Linked DNA regions of Drosophila melanogaster. The gene in region 2 interacts genetically with the main gene of each other region. Each region holds a gene or a part of one and is shown on either strand. Other genes may lie near its edges.

What was found. A genetic interaction does not mean that the proteins touch.
Region 1: of His1:CG31617 (region 2) and lok, changing one suppresses a phenotype caused by changing the other (phenotypic suppression), as found in Drosophila melanogaster (one study listed by BioGRID).
Region 3: of His1:CG31617 (region 2) and mei-41, changing one suppresses a phenotype caused by changing the other (phenotypic suppression), as found in Drosophila melanogaster (one study listed by BioGRID).

Annotation. Positions count from the first base shown.
Region 1 is NT_033779.5:20,059,868-20,065,561, forward strand, and holds lok (loki), read left to right. Parts: upstream 1-1,554; 5' UTR 1,555-1,853; exon of another isoform or gene 1,854-1,914; 5' UTR 1,915-2,009; coding exon 2,010-2,196; intron 2,197-2,280; coding exon 2,281-2,438; intron 2,439-2,677; coding exon 2,678-2,786; intron 2,787-2,866; coding exon 2,867-3,304; coding exon of another isoform or gene 3,305-3,318; exon of another isoform or gene 3,319-3,451; intron 3,452-3,510; coding exon 3,511-3,745; intron 3,746-3,804; coding exon 3,805-4,108; 3' UTR 4,109-4,514; downstream 4,515-5,694. Other genes in the region: barr (barren), read right to left, coding at 1-485, 545-856; vls (valois), read right to left, coding at 4,519-4,705, 4,758-5,134, 5,192-5,694. UniProt on the Drosophila melanogaster protein: May have a role in germline establishment.
Region 2 is NT_033779.5:21,418,778-21,423,485, forward strand, and holds His1:CG31617 (histone H1), read left to right. Parts: upstream 1-3,077; 5' UTR 3,078-3,236; coding exon 3,237-4,007; 3' UTR 4,008-4,100; downstream 4,101-4,708. Other genes in the region: His4:CG33909 (histone H4), read right to left, coding at 799-1,110; His3:CG33803 (histone H3), read left to right, coding at 1,409-1,819; His2B:CG17949 (histone H2B), read right to left, coding at 4,414-4,708. UniProt on the Drosophila melanogaster protein: Histones H1 are necessary for the condensation of nucleosome chains into higher-order structures.
Region 3 is NC_004354.4:16,389,904-16,395,377, forward strand, and holds the start of mei-41 (meiotic 41), read left to right. Parts: upstream 1-1,794; 5' UTR 1,795-1,857; coding exon 1,858-2,084; intron 2,085-2,143; coding exon 2,144-4,355; intron 4,356-4,412; coding exon 4,413-4,706; intron 4,707-4,780; coding exon 4,781-5,474. Other genes in the region: TH1, read right to left, coding at 43-489, 560-1,272, 1,389-1,451. UniProt on the Drosophila melanogaster protein: Serine/threonine protein kinase which activates checkpoint signaling upon genotoxic stresses such as ionizing radiation (IR), ultraviolet light (UV), or DNA replication stalling, thereby acting as a DNA damage sensor.

The DNA of each region.
Region 1 (5,694 bases), 1.4 Mb from region 2:
TCCATTTCTGCATTGAGTGTAGTGTGGTCCTGGACCTCCTCGGTGGACTCTTCGCTGTTCCAAAAATTGTAGGTGGTACGCAAGCGCAATTCAGAGTCGAAACTAGGAAGAATGTTGTGCATCAGACGATTGGAAGCATTTATAGAGCCCACAGTGGAGTTCAGCTTGCCAAACACAGGATCCTGCAAGGGAGCCGTATCCAGCCGGCTGTTCAGCGTTTCTCTGTTTTTGGTCACGGTGGATATGGGTTTCTTTTGCCGTTTGGGCTTCGGTGCTGCTTCTTTTGCTGCCTGTTGCGCTGAGTCCTGACCCTCGCCAGTAGCCTGTTCACCTTGGGGGCCATCATCATCCTCGGCAGCATTTATTTGCTTATCCGTAAGAGTTCGTGCACTCAAGCCAGCTGAAATGCGCATGGCGTCCAAGTAGATGGAGTCCACACGCAGGCCGTAAACCTTGGAAGAGGCTTCTAAAGAGGAACCAGCCATCTAGGGTATAACATCATGAAATTATTACATTTACATAAACTGAATGAGGCAAAACCCACCTTGAAGTTGCTCATGCGCTTGTGATGGTGATCCAGCAAATTGGCCAACGAATCGATGAGCATCAGGTTCCAGGCGTTGTCCTTGCTCACCTTGTTGCCATTGTAGAGCTCCAAGCAATTTTTGATGGTCTCATTGTCCTCGATGGACTCCAGAGTGCTCGACCGGTGATGCTGCTGAAGGAGCGTGCGACGTCGGGCTTCCCGCCTTTCCGCCTCGTCGTCGTTAAAGGGGGTTAGCATGCGGGACACCCCCTCCTGGTAACTGCCTACTGCGGACCGCCTGAGCGGAGTTTCTAAGCGGGGCAGAGTCATCCTTTCAAGGAAGTGGATAAATCAGAGATGAAGTCAGAGAACAGCACAAGGAATTTTGGTTGCCGTAGGCTGATGGTTTTGGAGAGTGTTAATAAGCACACTCACTTTTAATAATAGCTGTGATCCCAATTCGACAGTTTTGAATTTTTTGTTTTTTGATGATTTGTTGATTGTATTTTGTCTATTTCTGTTTTTGCGCTGGTATTGGTAATAGTTTACAGTTTCTTTCAAACGACGCCGCAATTTAGGGCTGCATTTCAGTGTTGGTTAAAACTAAAGGTGTGCCAAGCTAGCTAGATAATATGGACAGGAAAATCGCTAAAGAATTAGCTATAAAGTATTGCGGAATATAATTAACTAGTATAAACATGATACATAATTTTATCATATGAGAAAAATGAAATAAACAAACTTAATTTACACCTTAAAGCTTCGAAATCGAATAAAAACACGATAGCTTACAATGGAATTTCTTTAAGTTCAGGGCTGCACAGGTCCTGCCAGTGCTGAATGGATTTCAACAATGGATGGCCGTTAAATTTCAAATACATGTACCATATTAAAGAAACTACGATCTGTAAAGGAATTAATCTGTTTCAATACTTTTAGTTTTTTATATAATTTTCAGTCCGGTAGTTAATTAGTATTTTTTCTTTTGACAATAAAGTCTTAACCTAAGCAATATTTAATTTGTAAAAACCCTTAATTTTTCCTTGGGACTCTTGCCAACACTGGCGCTGATAATCACCCCATCCCTGGAAGGCGGCAACTTTTACACACACTGCCGCAGAAATTGTAGTCCCTCGCGCAGTTCACATCGAACCAATGTCGTGATTTTTGTTAGTTTTCGTTGTTTTCGTCTGATAAACTCTAAATAACTATCAGCCAGCGCTGTGCGAAAAGCTCGATGTAATCGAATTGGGCAGAAGAAACGCTCAGAGATTCAAACCCATAGCTTCTATAGATCTATAGCTTTTCCGAAGATCGGACTCCTCGTGTATGTGTGCATTTCTGCCTGTGGTAGTGCTGGAGTAACTGGACATTTCGAATTTACGCAGTTCCAGGCAAACCTAACGGGTTTTCCAGTTCGACTTGCGGAATAGCAGGAATACGAGATTACGGGGCTACGGAGTTTCGGAGTTTTGGAATCACTATGGCACGCGACACACAAGGAACGCAGGGAACCCAGAGTCAGGCCTCCAATATCTGGACGCAGGTGGAGAGCCAGCCGATGGAGAAGATAGTCTGGGGTCGATTGTACGGCAAGAACATTAAGATCAAATCGCTGGGTACGAGTTCAAAATACCGAATCATTTATACGCATTCGTCCTTTTCTGTTGGTAACCACATTTCCTCCTGTTTTGTGTCCCCATTGCGTGTGCTCCTCATGTATTAATGACGATCCCATGCTGAACTGTTTGCAGATCTCAACAACGACGAGTTCACCGCAGGACGAGGGGAGGCCAACGACTTGATCCTCACGCTCAACGATTTGCCCGAGAAAATCCTGACGCGCATTTCCAAAGTGCATTTTATCATAAAGCGGGCAAACTGCGAACTTACCAATCCAGTTTATATTCAGGTAGGTGGAAGTTCCAAACCCAAAAGCTCTGAAGGAAGCCTTGAAAAAAAAGATAGCAAATTCAGAACCCACAAGAGCAGAATTCAAATTAAGTTTTATTTATGTTTTGTTGAGATTATCAAAAAAGGTAACTTCAATATTGAATATTTCCCACAATTAATTTACAAAAAGAAGTTACTATTCCGTATAATTCCGTATATTATTAAAATGTAGTAACCTTGTTTCCGCCCATTTCGCAGGATCTCTCACGCAACGGGACGTTTGTGAATAACGAGAAAATTGGCACAAACAGGATGCGAATCCTAAAGAATGACGACGTAATTTCCCTGTCCCACCCAACGTACAAAGGTAAGCGATCGACAAGCAGGTATAGCTATCGACAAGGACTCGCAAGTAATTTGATGTTTTGCACCTGCCCTCCCTTGTAGCCTTTGTATTCAAGGATCTCAGCCCGAATGAGTCGATCGGGCTTCCCGAGGAGATTAACAAGACGTATTATGTAAATCGCAAGCTGGGATCTGGAGCGTACGGACTGGTGCGTTTGGTCTATGACACCCGCACCTGCCAGCAGTTTGCGATGAAAATCGTTAAGAAGAATATGCTCTCTGGGGCGCGACCCAGTACCAATTTCAGTGATCCCGACCGGGTGCTGAACGAAGCCAAGATTATGAAGAATCTTTCACATCCGTGCGTGGTTCGCATGCACGACATCGTGGACAAGCCGGATTCTGTGTATATGGTGCTGGAGTTTATGCGCGGCGGCGACCTGCTTAACCGGATCATCAGCAACAAACTACTTAGCGAGGACATCTCGAAGCTTTACTTTTACCAAATGTGCCATGCCGTCAAGTACCTACACGATCGGGGTAAAACAAATTAGTTTTATTTGGGTTCGAATGTGTTGCTGATTAAGCAAGCCGTTCATTTCTGTTATGCAAATAAGTAAGTCTTCGGAATGGTCATTGAAAACGCCCTTAATTGCAAATCATTCCTGCGCCTTTACGAATTTGCTAGTACGACTACTGCGAACACATCAATCGAATTATTCAACTAACTAGTTTCTACCTTTCAGGCATCACCCATCGTGACCTTAAGCCTGACAATGTTTTGCTGGAGACCAATGACGAGGAGACCCTACTGAAGGTCTCCGATTTCGGGCTGAGTAAGTTTGTGCAGAAGGACTCGGTTATGCGCACGCTCTGTGGCACACCTCTCTACGTGGCCCCTGAGGTGCTGATTACCGGCGGCCGAGAAGCCTACACCAAGAAAGTGGACATTTGGAGCTTGGGAGTGGTGCTATTTACTTGGTAAGTCATTATGTTATTCTCCTACGAAGATAACTTAGCAATATACTCATATCTTGCAGCCTGAGTGGCACTCTGCCCTTTTCGGACGAGTACGGCACCCCGGCGGCCCAGCAAATAAAGAAGGGCAGATTCGCGTATGGACACCCTTCTTGGAAGAGTGTCTCGCAGCGCGCCAAGCTGCTGATCAACCAAATGCTCATTGTGGATCCCGAGAGGCGACCCTCAATCGACGACGTTTTGCAGAGCAGCTGGCTGCGCGATGCGCCCATGCTGCAGAAGGCGAAGAGGCTGATGAAGCTCGATGGCATGGAAATCGAGGAGGAGAACTTCCTTGAGCCACCCACCAAGCGATCGCGACGCTAGGTTTCGTTTCTGTGTTTCCATCGTTAATACGTGAGGGTCGAGGCGCGAAAAGGTTTTAATTTTCTGGAAAAATTAAGCGACAACATTTTTCCCAAAACGCCGACACCGCCGCATCCGAGTGTATTGGCGAATTTAAGTATTTTTTGCGGTTGTTAATTTTTACGTGTTGTCTAGTGTAAGTTTCATCGCCCAAGCCCGGTTTATCCTGTTAAACTGCATTTAAACTGGGCTGCTGCTTCACAATTTTTTTAAGATTCCTATCGATTTGAATTCTGCCATTTCATTGGACTATTATTACGATTTATTACTTGTAACTGTTCAGTAACTATAAGTGTTAAATGTAAGAATGACTCTTCAGCAAACCATTCCGCTTTTTGAAATAAAGCAATTGAATTTGTTCGGCAGCAAAATTATTTGATAGCGTGCGTCACCATTTTGCGGCCATGTCCAATGGTGATGAGGGTGCTATCATCGGTCCAAACGGCATCAGTTAGGCGAGAATGGGTGTCCTGGTGCGTGTAGATGAACTCATGGCCCGCCTGCACATTGGCCACTTTCACGGAGGCGGGCAAATTGCTCATCGCAGCCAGATGGGGCCTGAAAATATGTGCGTTAATGCAAATCGTCATTGTTTCGCTTAAACTTGTACCCATTGATTAATAACTGGGCGACATGGCCCTTGTCGAAGTATTCCCTGGTTTCCGCCAGTTTTCGTGGCACTCGAATGTCCAGAGTATGAACTTTGCCGTCATAGTCCCCGAGATAGATGTGATTGTCACCCTGCAGCTCCGAGGCAGCTGCCCAGGCGGCACTGGTGAAGCTCAGCACGTGGCTGGCATCCGCATAGAGGCACGTGGAAGATGGAGCCGCTGCCCGGACATCCCAAAGGCGGGCACAGCCGCCACGATCACAGGTCACAAATTTATCGACTGAAGCTGCGGGTGTGGCCAGGCCAGTCAACTTGTCGGTATGCGAGGAGCGCGATCTGTAGGTGCTCACCATATCGGCGCCCGAGAGATCCCAGACCTGCAAAAGGGTAACATTTGTATATTTTCCATACATCCACATCACCTTTATACATACATTGAGGGTACTGTCCGCTGAGCCCGAAACGGCAGTGCGGGGATCCGCCTTGAAGACGCTCAGTTGGCTGATGGGTGTGGGATGCGCACTGGACTCGCCCACGAGGAAGAGGCAGTATGGCGACTGAGAATCTCGCACCTTGGAGTATGTGGACCAGGCCTGGAGTCGGGTATCCCCAAGGGCCACCAGTAGGAAATCATCCTCAGCGTAGCGCACAATGTTCACCGTGTGCTCCGCCTGCAGCTTGAAGTTCGCCGAGTCCACGCTCATATGGTGCATCTGGTCGCGTCCGTAGCCGAACAACATGCCCCACCATTGGCGTCCTTCGCGTCGGTTTGTGGCCAGGGCCAGGTGGTTGTGATCATTGATAGCGATGCTGTCCCAGCAGTCGTGCAGTCGCGGCGAAAGGTTTTCCAATCGCGCGTTTAGGTCCGCAATGTTGAGGTTCGGGTACTCCAGATTCCCGGCCAGCTCCAGTGCCGGCGGAGGCTGGTGGGTCACCG
Region 2 (4,708 bases):
AACTGAATGCGCAGGCAAACGGAAAAGTATAAATATTTCGCTGTCTGGGTTAGGCGAGCATTCGTGTTCCGTGCGTAAAGTGAACTAAGTGAAATAAACGCAAAGCAAAATGTCTGGACGTGGAAAAGGTGGCAAAGTGAAGGGAAAGGCAAAGTCCCGCTCAAACCGTGCCGGTTTAGAATTATTCCGCGTCATCTGCAACTGGCCATCCGCAACGACGAGGAGTTAAACAAGCTGCTCTCCGGCGTCACAATTGCACAAGGTGGCGTGTTGCCTAATATACAGGCTGTTCTGTTGCCCAAGAAGACCGAGAAGAAGGCCTAAACGTTTCAAAGGCTAAGCTAAAAACCTACATGTACATAAAATCGTCAATCAAACCGTCCTTTTCAGGACGACCAAATTATTACCAAAGAATTGAAAAATTTTTTAGCTTGGCAATTTGTTGTAATTAGTAAATCATAAAGAATTATTAACGTAAAGATGGTAATGTAGTAAGGGTTTTCTACTATATGCGGTATAAACTATAATTTGCTTCTTTAAACAATCGCACACCACGATGTGATGCTGTACATGCGGTGTCTGAAACCATTTGTACAGTCTGTACAAATCCATGTTAGAAATACACATTCTATTTGAAAGAGTACGAACAACAGACATTTATTTTTAGTTTAACATATTTTTTGGGAGTCCCGACCAATAAAATTAAATACTTTTTGAAAATCTTCCTCCTTTTAAAAACTGAATGGTGGTCCTGAAAAGGACCGATTGCTTAATAGGGGTACACAGGATGTACACTTTTTAACCGCCAAATCCGTAGAGGGTGCGGCCTTGCCTCTTCAGAGCGTACACAACATCCATGGCTGTAACTGTCTTCCTCTTGGCGTGTTCCGTGTAGGTCACGGCATCACGAATTACGTTCTCCAAGAAAACCTTCAGAACGCCACGCGTTTCCTCGTATATGAGTCCAGATATGCGCTTCACACCGCCTCGACGGGCCAAACGGCGGATAGCAGGCTTCGTGATACCTTGGATGTTATCACGCAGCACTTTGCGATGACGCTTGGCGCCACCCTTTCCCAAGCCTTTGCCTCCTTTACCACGACCAGTCATTTTTCACTGTTCTATACTATTATACACGCACAGCACGAAAGTCACTAAAGAACTAATTTCAACGTTTCTGTGTGCCCCTATTTATAGGTAAAACGACAAAAACCCGAGAGAGTACGAACGATATGTTCGTTCGCTTTTCGCTCGTCAAATGAAATGGCCTCCGTTTTTCTCTCTCTCTCTCTCTCTCTCTTTCACCGTCCACGATTGCTATATAAGTAGGTAGCAAATGCTCTGATCGTTTATTGTGTTTTCAAACGTGAAGTAGTGAACGTGAACTTTAGTGAAACCCAAATCGGAGATGGCTCGTACCAAGCAAACTGCTCGCAAATCGACTGGTGGAAAGGCGCCACGCAAACAACTGGCTACTAAGGCCGCTCGCAAGAGTGCTCCAGCCACCGGAGGTGTGAAGAAGCCCCACCGCTATCGCCCTGGAACCGTGGCCTTGCGTGAAATTCGTCGCTACCAAAAGAGCACCGAGCTTCTAATCCGCAAGCTGCCTTTCCAGCGTCTGGTGCGTGAAATCGCTCAGGACTTTAAGACGGACTTGCGATTCCAGAGCTCGGCGGTTATGGCTCTGCAGGAAGCTAGCGAAGCCTACCTGGTTGGTCTCTTCGAAGATACCAACTTGTGTGCCATTCATGCCAAGCGTGTCACCATAATGCCCAAAGACATCCAGTTAGCGCGACGCATTCGCGGCGAGCGTGCTTAAGCTGACACGGCATTAACTTGCAGATAAAGCGCTAGCGTACTCTATAATCGGTCCTTTTCAGGACCACAAACCAGATTCAATGAGATAAAATTTTCTGTTGCCGACTATTTATAACTTTAAAAAAAAAATAAGAACAAAATTCATATTCTATTATTTATGGCGCAAACGGTACTGGGTCTTAAATCATATGTAAAAATACTAATTCTGCCAGAGAAGGAATAAAAATAATCTTATTTTAATTGTAAGCTCGACATTTATTAAATTAAAGAAGAGGTTAATAAATATAAAATATATATAAAAATATATATTTTTATTTGTTCTTTGTGCGAACATCCTTTAAAGCAGTGAAAGTGTCGTGCGGGGAAAGGGACTCTGAACCTTAAACATCTAAAAAAAAATCTGAATTCTGTGTAAGACAGTTTGAAATTAATGAAATTACATTGATGACGGCAATATTTATAAAATAACAGAAAATAATAAAATAAAACTAGCTATTTTATATTTTTTCCATGTGTTAACTGAAGAATGTGTTATTATTGAAGAGGTCGTACGGGACAATTGACACTGTCCCTTCAAACGTCTGTAAAAAATAAAACCTATGTAAAATTCAGCACGGAAATTGGCTAATTTTGTTGCGGAATGTAATATATATTACATAATAAAGGATAATACAAAAATTGTTTCTTTTTATTTTTTATTTGATTTATTTATTTGACTACATAGACGGTAATGCATATGTGGCGAGGAAATCGATTGATTTCAGAACAAATTATTTTAAAATATGCATGAAAACACATTAATAACAAGCAAACACATTAATAATTTAAGAAAATATTATTTATTATATTAATATTATGTTATTTAAGAAAGTATCTGTATTTTTAACGATCGAAAATTATTTCTGAATGCTGCTTTAAAGCAAATTTTTCTGTAGTTCAATGTGAACTTAAATCAAGTAATAAAGTATCTTAATTAATAATAGACGCTTCTTTCAGAAGCCCTTCTAGGGGATGAACGTTTCAATTTTAATAAACATTACGAATTAGTGAAATATTTGCAATGATTCTTATTTTATTAGATGTTTTTTTATAAATTGGTCCAGTTAAAAATTTGAATATAAAAATTCAATCAACATTTGAAAGTCTCAAAACCCATATTACATCCTTTTAAAAATGGAAAGTGACGAAAAAATTATTTAAAAGTGTAGAACTATTAAAACCTTATTTTTATTAATGATTTAAAATACTAAAAAATTAAAAAAAGTTTACACTTCAAGCAAACTTCGACATAGTAAATGACTGATGTCAGTAGCATTGTTAAAGTGCTCTCCTCCTCGATTCTCATCAGAGCAAAGGAGGTTGGTAGGCAGCGCGCGAGCCATTTTTAACAGAAAAAAAGTGTTCTCAGTGAAAAAAAGATGTCTGATTCTGCAGTTGCAACGTCCGCTTCCCCAGTGGCTGCCCCACCAGCGACAGTTGAGAAGAAAGTGGTCCAAAAAAAGGCATCTGGATCTGCTGGCACAAAGGCAAAGAAAGCCTCTGCGACGCCGTCACATCCGCCAACTCAGCAAATGGTGGACGCTTCCATTAAAAATTTAAAGGAACGTGGCGGTTCATCACTTCTGGCAATCAAAAAATATATCACTGCCACTTATAAATGCGACGCCCAAAAGTTAGCGCCATTCATCAAGAAGTACTTAAAATCGGCCGTGGTCAATGGAAAGCTTATCCAAACTAAGGGAAAGGGTGCATCTGGATCTTTCAAACTGTCGGCCTCTGCCAAGAAGGAAAAGGATCCGAAGGCAAAGTCGAAGGTTTTGTCTGCTGAGAAAAAAGTTCAAAGCAAGAAGGTAGCCTCTAAGAAGATTGGTGTCTCCTCTAAAAAAACTGCCGTTGGGGCTGCTGACAAAAAGCCCAAAGCTAAGAAGGCTGTGGCTACCAAAAAGACTGCCGAAAATAAGAAAACTGAGAAGGCAAAAGCCAAGGATGCCAAGAAAACTGGAATCATAAAGTCGAAGCCCGCCGCAACAAAGGCGAAAGTGACTGCAGCGAAGCCAAAGGCTGTAGTAGCGAAAGCGTCAAAGGCAAAGCCAGCGGTGTCTGCAAAACCCAAAAAGACGGTGAAGAAAGCATCGGTTTCTGCTACCGCCAAGAAGCCGAAAGCGAAGACTACGGCTGCCAAAAAGTAAATTGTGAAAAAGTGCAGTATTTGGTACATGTTCGCAATTAAAATTTTAGATTTATGATTTATAGATCTGAAATTTGTTTAAACAAGTCCTTTTCAGGGCTACAACGTTCCGTTGCAAGAGAAAAAAACTTTTATTTTCTTCCACTTATTTATTAGCTGACGTTCGCAGCAACAATAAAACGTTTCATGTCATGAATTACATTGCATGTTGGTCGCATTCAGTTTTCGTTCCCGATTTTTTTGTATTTATTTGAACATTACCCAATTACCCATATTGCGGGTAAATAAGTTTTATTTGTAAATTCATATTCGATGATTGGTAGTTGAAAAATGCATTTCTTTGGTATAACACATTGTGGCCTTGAAAAGGGCCGTTTTGGATTATTGTCCGCATTCGCAGGAGAAAATTATTTAGAGCTGGTGTACTTGGTGACAGCCTTGGTTCCCTCACTGACAGCATGCTTGGCCAACTCTCCAGGCAAAAGCAGGCGAACAGCCGTTTGGATCTCCCGACTGGTGATGGTCGAGCGCTTGTTGTAGTGAGCTAGACGAGACGCTTCGGCAGCAATTCGCTCGAAAATATCATTTACAAAGCTGTTCATTATGCTCATCGCCTTCGACGAAATTCCGGTGTCAGGATGGACCTGCTTGAGAACCTTGTAAATGTAGATGGCATAGCTCTCCTTCCTTTTGCGCTTCTTT
Region 3 (5,474 bases), on a different chromosome or scaffold from region 2:
AAGGGAAACCAATAATTTTTTGATATACATCGGTCGCCTTACTTGATGCAATTATACAGCGTTTGCAACTCGGCGATTAGCTCGGTGGATCCCTGGTCCACATTACAAATGGTGTGTGCCTTTTCGATAGCCTGAATGGTGCTCTTTAGCTCCTCCTTGTTTAGCATGCGCTCAGTCATTGGTCGCTTTTTGGCCGGCTGGTCGATGACCGCGGACGCGTAGGCTAGCAGAAACATATACTTCGGTTTGTGCTCGGGATTGATTTTAACGCCGGAACGAAAGAGCGCGTCTACCAGTAGCTCCAGAAACTGGGGGTTTCGTATCAAGTCGATGGGCGGTGGATCGGAACCGGAGTAGTTGCGAAACAGCACGGTGATATCGGCGGGATTCAGTGTATTGCGGGTGAGCATGGAAGTTAGGGCTTGACATGCTTGCGGATAGACTGCCGAACCATTCAGGGCCATTGTAATAGGCGTTACATTTTGATTGCTAAACAATGAAGCAAAAGAAAGGATTTATGTTATGACTAACTATGTGGAATCGTCAGTTATTTTCATACTTCTGCAGGGCGTATTTAATAATTTCCTGAGAGAGCCGCTTCATGTTGAACCCACCCTTCTGCTCCTGGCTGAGGACCTGGATGAGCACCTGGGAGTATACGTAAGTGTGCTGGCCATGGCAGACCATTCGTGCGCACTCCTGAATGGCACCGTGCACATCATCCGGATTGTTTAGAAATTTGACGATCGAGGTCTTTAGAACCCGCGAGAAAACCTCAATCTGCTGTGCCGCTGTCGAAATGGAAGTGATCTCGCTCTGGAAGCCCGCGTCCGAGATCAACTTGATTGTAAAGTTCAGCATTAGACAATCGGGATATTCTTCGGCCAGTCGGTAGATTAGCGAGCGCCACGTATAGTGGTCGATCATCTCGGTTAGCCAGTCGGGCGTCTCACCCTCCTCCGTGAATATGGTGTCCGCCTTCTTGGGATCGAAGGACTTAAGAATCATTTCCTTGAGATGATTCTCCACCATGGCCTGGACTTCGGTAACCTTGACGCCCGCCAGGATGAGCCATTCCGCAAGCAGGTTGGCCATCTGGGCCACCGCCTTGTAGTTCTCGGATAGCATCGATATAACCTCCTCCGGAGATCCGCCCGACTGAAAGTAGCGCTTCAGCTGCGTAAATATCCCCGGCTCCATGATGTAGTCCGGTGTGAGGAACTTCTCCAGGCATTCCTGTATCGTCTTCTGCGGATTGTCCTCAAGCGTTTCCTTCGATTGGGATGGGATAACATGATGTTTAGTTGTTATTTTTTATGGTTTATCTAGTAGCGTCATCAAATTGCCGGGATTGCCTGCCACGCCGTACACGCTCTATACTCAATTACCTCCGGATTGGTTTGTCCTTTGGCGCGGCCCTGCCAACCAGAGTCGTCGTATTCCACTTCCATTTTTTCTCAAAAACTTATTTACAATAACATAAAAATATTTTTCTTATTTTGATTAACTATGCATTTTTAGTGTGACTGTAAATTGTTAACCACGACGCGCACACCTACGCGGGTTATGCGCCGTTTACACTTAGCAAACTCTTCTGTTAATTTCATATTATGCAATGTAAATCTTAAATTTGAGGAGAAAAAGAAAATTGTCAATAAGTGTAAAACGCGGTAATGTAAACATATATTAACTAATTTTTTTTTAAATTAATATATGTAAAATCGCAGTTGGAACGTGGCTGTTATTCAAGAAAAAGAAGAAGAAGCTGCCAAACATATCGATAGCCACAAGTGCGGCGAATGCCGGCTTTCGTAAACAAAGGTCGCGTTTTTGCGAGTTTTAAATAAACTTGGCAAAATGTCGACACAACGGAAGGATATGTGGAAGTTGCTTTACAACCACGTAAACCGGAACGTAAGCAACTTTTCCGGCGTGTACAGCGTTATAGAAGACATATTGTGCCAGGAGCCGAGTCTGATAAGCTGTTCGTTGGTGCGGGAGCTGCACAACAAATTCCAGGACACATTCCTACTCTGGCTGCTCAACAAGCTGGCCAAGTGCCTTAGTGAATCTCCAGATAGCAGGTAAGATGAGCCACAAGCATTGGACTCCAAACTTATGACACACCGTTTTTCTGCTGCAGCGAGTGCATCAATCTTCAAAGGAAAATACTGAGCTCCTGCTGTTCCAATCATCCTAAGCTTTTTGAACGCCTTGTACTGGCCTATGTGGAAGCCATTGAGGAGACGCACCTTCAGCTAAGTTCCCTGGACCTCGGCCAATTGAGTAATGAGCGAAAACCCGCCATAACTGTAAGAATATTCCGATGCGATGTGGAATGCCTGCAGGAGTTCGATCCGCACTGCGCTATCGAGGACATCAAGGTGCCCCTTGAGCAAGCCGACATGTATGCCAAGAGCCTGCTGGAGGTCCTCCAGCATGCCCATCACATTGGATACGCCACGCACGGCGACATCTTCTCGGGCAGCCTTCATCAGGCTCTGCTAATCCTCAAGGAGTGCGACATGGACACAAAACTGGCCAGCTTGAATTACTGTCACAATGTCCTACGATCACAGTCGGCCAGCAGCTGGATAACAAATCCGGACGTTGGACATTATGCGCAATTAACGTTGGAGGCGACGGCAATCATGTGGTCGGCAGTAGCCAAGTGGCTGGACATGGGATGTATGACGCGCCAGGAGCTAAAACGGCTCAATATAACAACAAAGCTACTGCTAGAAGTTCTGCATATGCGTGCACGTCCAGCCCACCATCTTGGCTACCTGCTTTTGAACGAGATCCTTAGTTTGCCGACAGCCATTGAATTGGACGATGGACTGCTGGAGACCCTAAGTTCCTATATTCAAGGCCAGCTAGAGCATTCGGTTGTACCATTGGAGCAACTGGTGCACTTGCAGCAGCTTATGTTAAGCCATTGGCACTGCCACCCCACACATTTGGTGCCCATATTGGCGCTAATGGGCTTGAAACAGACTGAGATGCGCTCAGGAGTGGTCCAAGTGCTTACCCAAAGTCTCGTTGAAATCTTGAAGAAGGAAGAAGTATTGTCGAAGGATTGGCAGAAACTGATTGCTATTTTACGAGGCTTCAAGCAGCTGGAGAAACTAATTCTGTCACAGAGTCAGCATAAAATAGCTGAGCACGAAGGTCACATCGATTCCTCAGTTCTGGCCATGTTACCGCTGCAGTGTGAAATCATAAAGGTTGCGGATACCAATTGGAATAACCTTTCAATGCAGCTGGTTGAGCTGGAATCAAAGTGTTCCGCAGACCGAAGACACATACACTTGGAAATCTGCTCCCTTTTGATGCAAATCACCTTCATCCGGCACTTTTTAAAGACTCAAACGCAACACCAGCTGCTGGCCATTCTTCAGCGACATTTGAAGCTGTCCTACCTTTGCGCCATTCGCTTGGAGACACCTTCTAGTGTTCATACCCAAATGCAAAGCTTCTATGCCCAGCAGTACATGAGGCTATTTCAATCCGAGGAGACACAGGAGATATTCTGTAGCAACCTTCCGCAGTTGTACATATCGGGTTTCATAAAGCCGGAGCAACTGATGAAAGCTCTGCCCACCATTAACAATCGTAGTGGCCGCGCTCAAGTTATACGCCTATTGCTCTGCTCCCAGCCAGGTAAATTGAGTGTCTTTAAAGTCAAAGATCGCATTGAGCTATACTGCCCGAAATGCAGGCCACTGCCAAAGAAACTGCCAGGTATTTACCTCGGAAAATGCAAGCAACAGCTGCCATGTCCAGACTTTTCAAGCACCAACCTCGAAATGATAGCAAATGATTTATTGTTTTATCCCGATTTTGAATGTATTGCCCAGCATCTGGACCTTCTGTGCTTTGAACCCAATGTGATTCTTGGCCTGCTAAGAGAAACGGAGGCACTGCAAAAGGTTAGCGTTAAGGTTATCGGCCAGCTGGTCTCTGCGATGCGTGTGCGTTCGCCAGAATTCTTGGAGCAATTAGCCAATCTTGTTCTAGCTGCTATAAAAGCAATGCTAGCAAAGCCACTGACAGAGCAAAATGTGCTGCAGCAAAGAAGTATGCTCAACGTACTGACCGCCATTGCGCACATGGAGGATAATGAAATCTGGCTCTTTCACTGGTTCAAAATGACATTCTTCTTTCTGGTGCACACTCGCTCACTGGTGGCGCAAGAAGCTGTGCTGGCGGCCACCGAGATGTGTGCCAGCCAGGGTCTGCAGACGATTCATCTGTGGAACTGGTACAAGCGAGATGCTCTCGACCTCACCGTTCGCCTGGCTTTGAACGTTTATCTTTTGGATGGCGTACGCTTCACCCGATCCCTCCGAGCGGTGCGTAAATAGACGAACTTTTCTTCACTTCCCAAAATTTGACCGGTCTGTTTGCAGCTTACGAAAATGTTGGGATTCACGTGCGTTCAGGAGTTCACCTGCAAGTATCATCGCCTTCTGACTGCCATGGTCCTGCCGCATTGCATCGTGAATCCGCTTTGCAAGGGAGTTTTGGTATTGATAGCCAAACAAATGCAGAAACACATTGGCACCTTGTTCTCCATCTCGTTCCTGCGGATCTACACACACGTCTTCCTGACCGAGGAACCGGAGTTGGCCAATAGTTGCATCGAGCTGGTGGTCAGTTGCACCCAGTCCAGCCTGCAACAGCTAATGAATGCGGATGTCAAGGTGGGCAGAAGTTAATTTATATTTTATTATTTTATCTTTTATTTTATTTTATTTGATTTGGTTATCACTTGTAGCAAACGGTGGCCGAGTTGCTTATATATTTCAACCGAAACCCCACATTCGTGATGCGATCCTTTCAAAGCCTCTTGCAGTTATCAATCGGTTCCTTGGAGGAGTTGTCAAGTCAAACGGCGAATGCAGAGTTTGCGAATTTCATTGCTGAGCGTTTCCTCGGTGTGATCACCTACTTCGAGAGCTGCCTAAGTGAACCGTCTTTTGAGAAGCCATTGAAGGAGGAGACTTTGTACAGTTTGGGCCAGATTATGCGATTTGTGGGCTCCCAGCATGTCACCCAGTTTCGCTTCAAAATCATTGCCATGCTGAGTTTCGTTCACACATTGCAGGAGCCTCGTCTCCAGCGAATTTGCCTAAAGATTTGGCACATATTTCTGCATGTTGTAAATGTGCAGGAGCTGGGACCCTCTCTGGGAAGAATCGTGGCCACCTTGCAGCCTCTGCTGGCGGACAACGAGAGCGTTAAGCAGGTCAATGATCTGTACGAGTTCATAATTCTACGCAACGCCTCCATGCTGGGCACCTTTATAACAGATCTGTACTTTCTAGATCGCATGGAGAATGTTTCGCCTTCGATTCAAAAATGCATCAGAAGGCATACAGCCCATCTGGACCTTAAGGGATTGGCGGAGGAGGAGAATCAATCGCCACCATTGGTCGACCAGTTGCGTTTCCTGCAAAAGCACATAACCG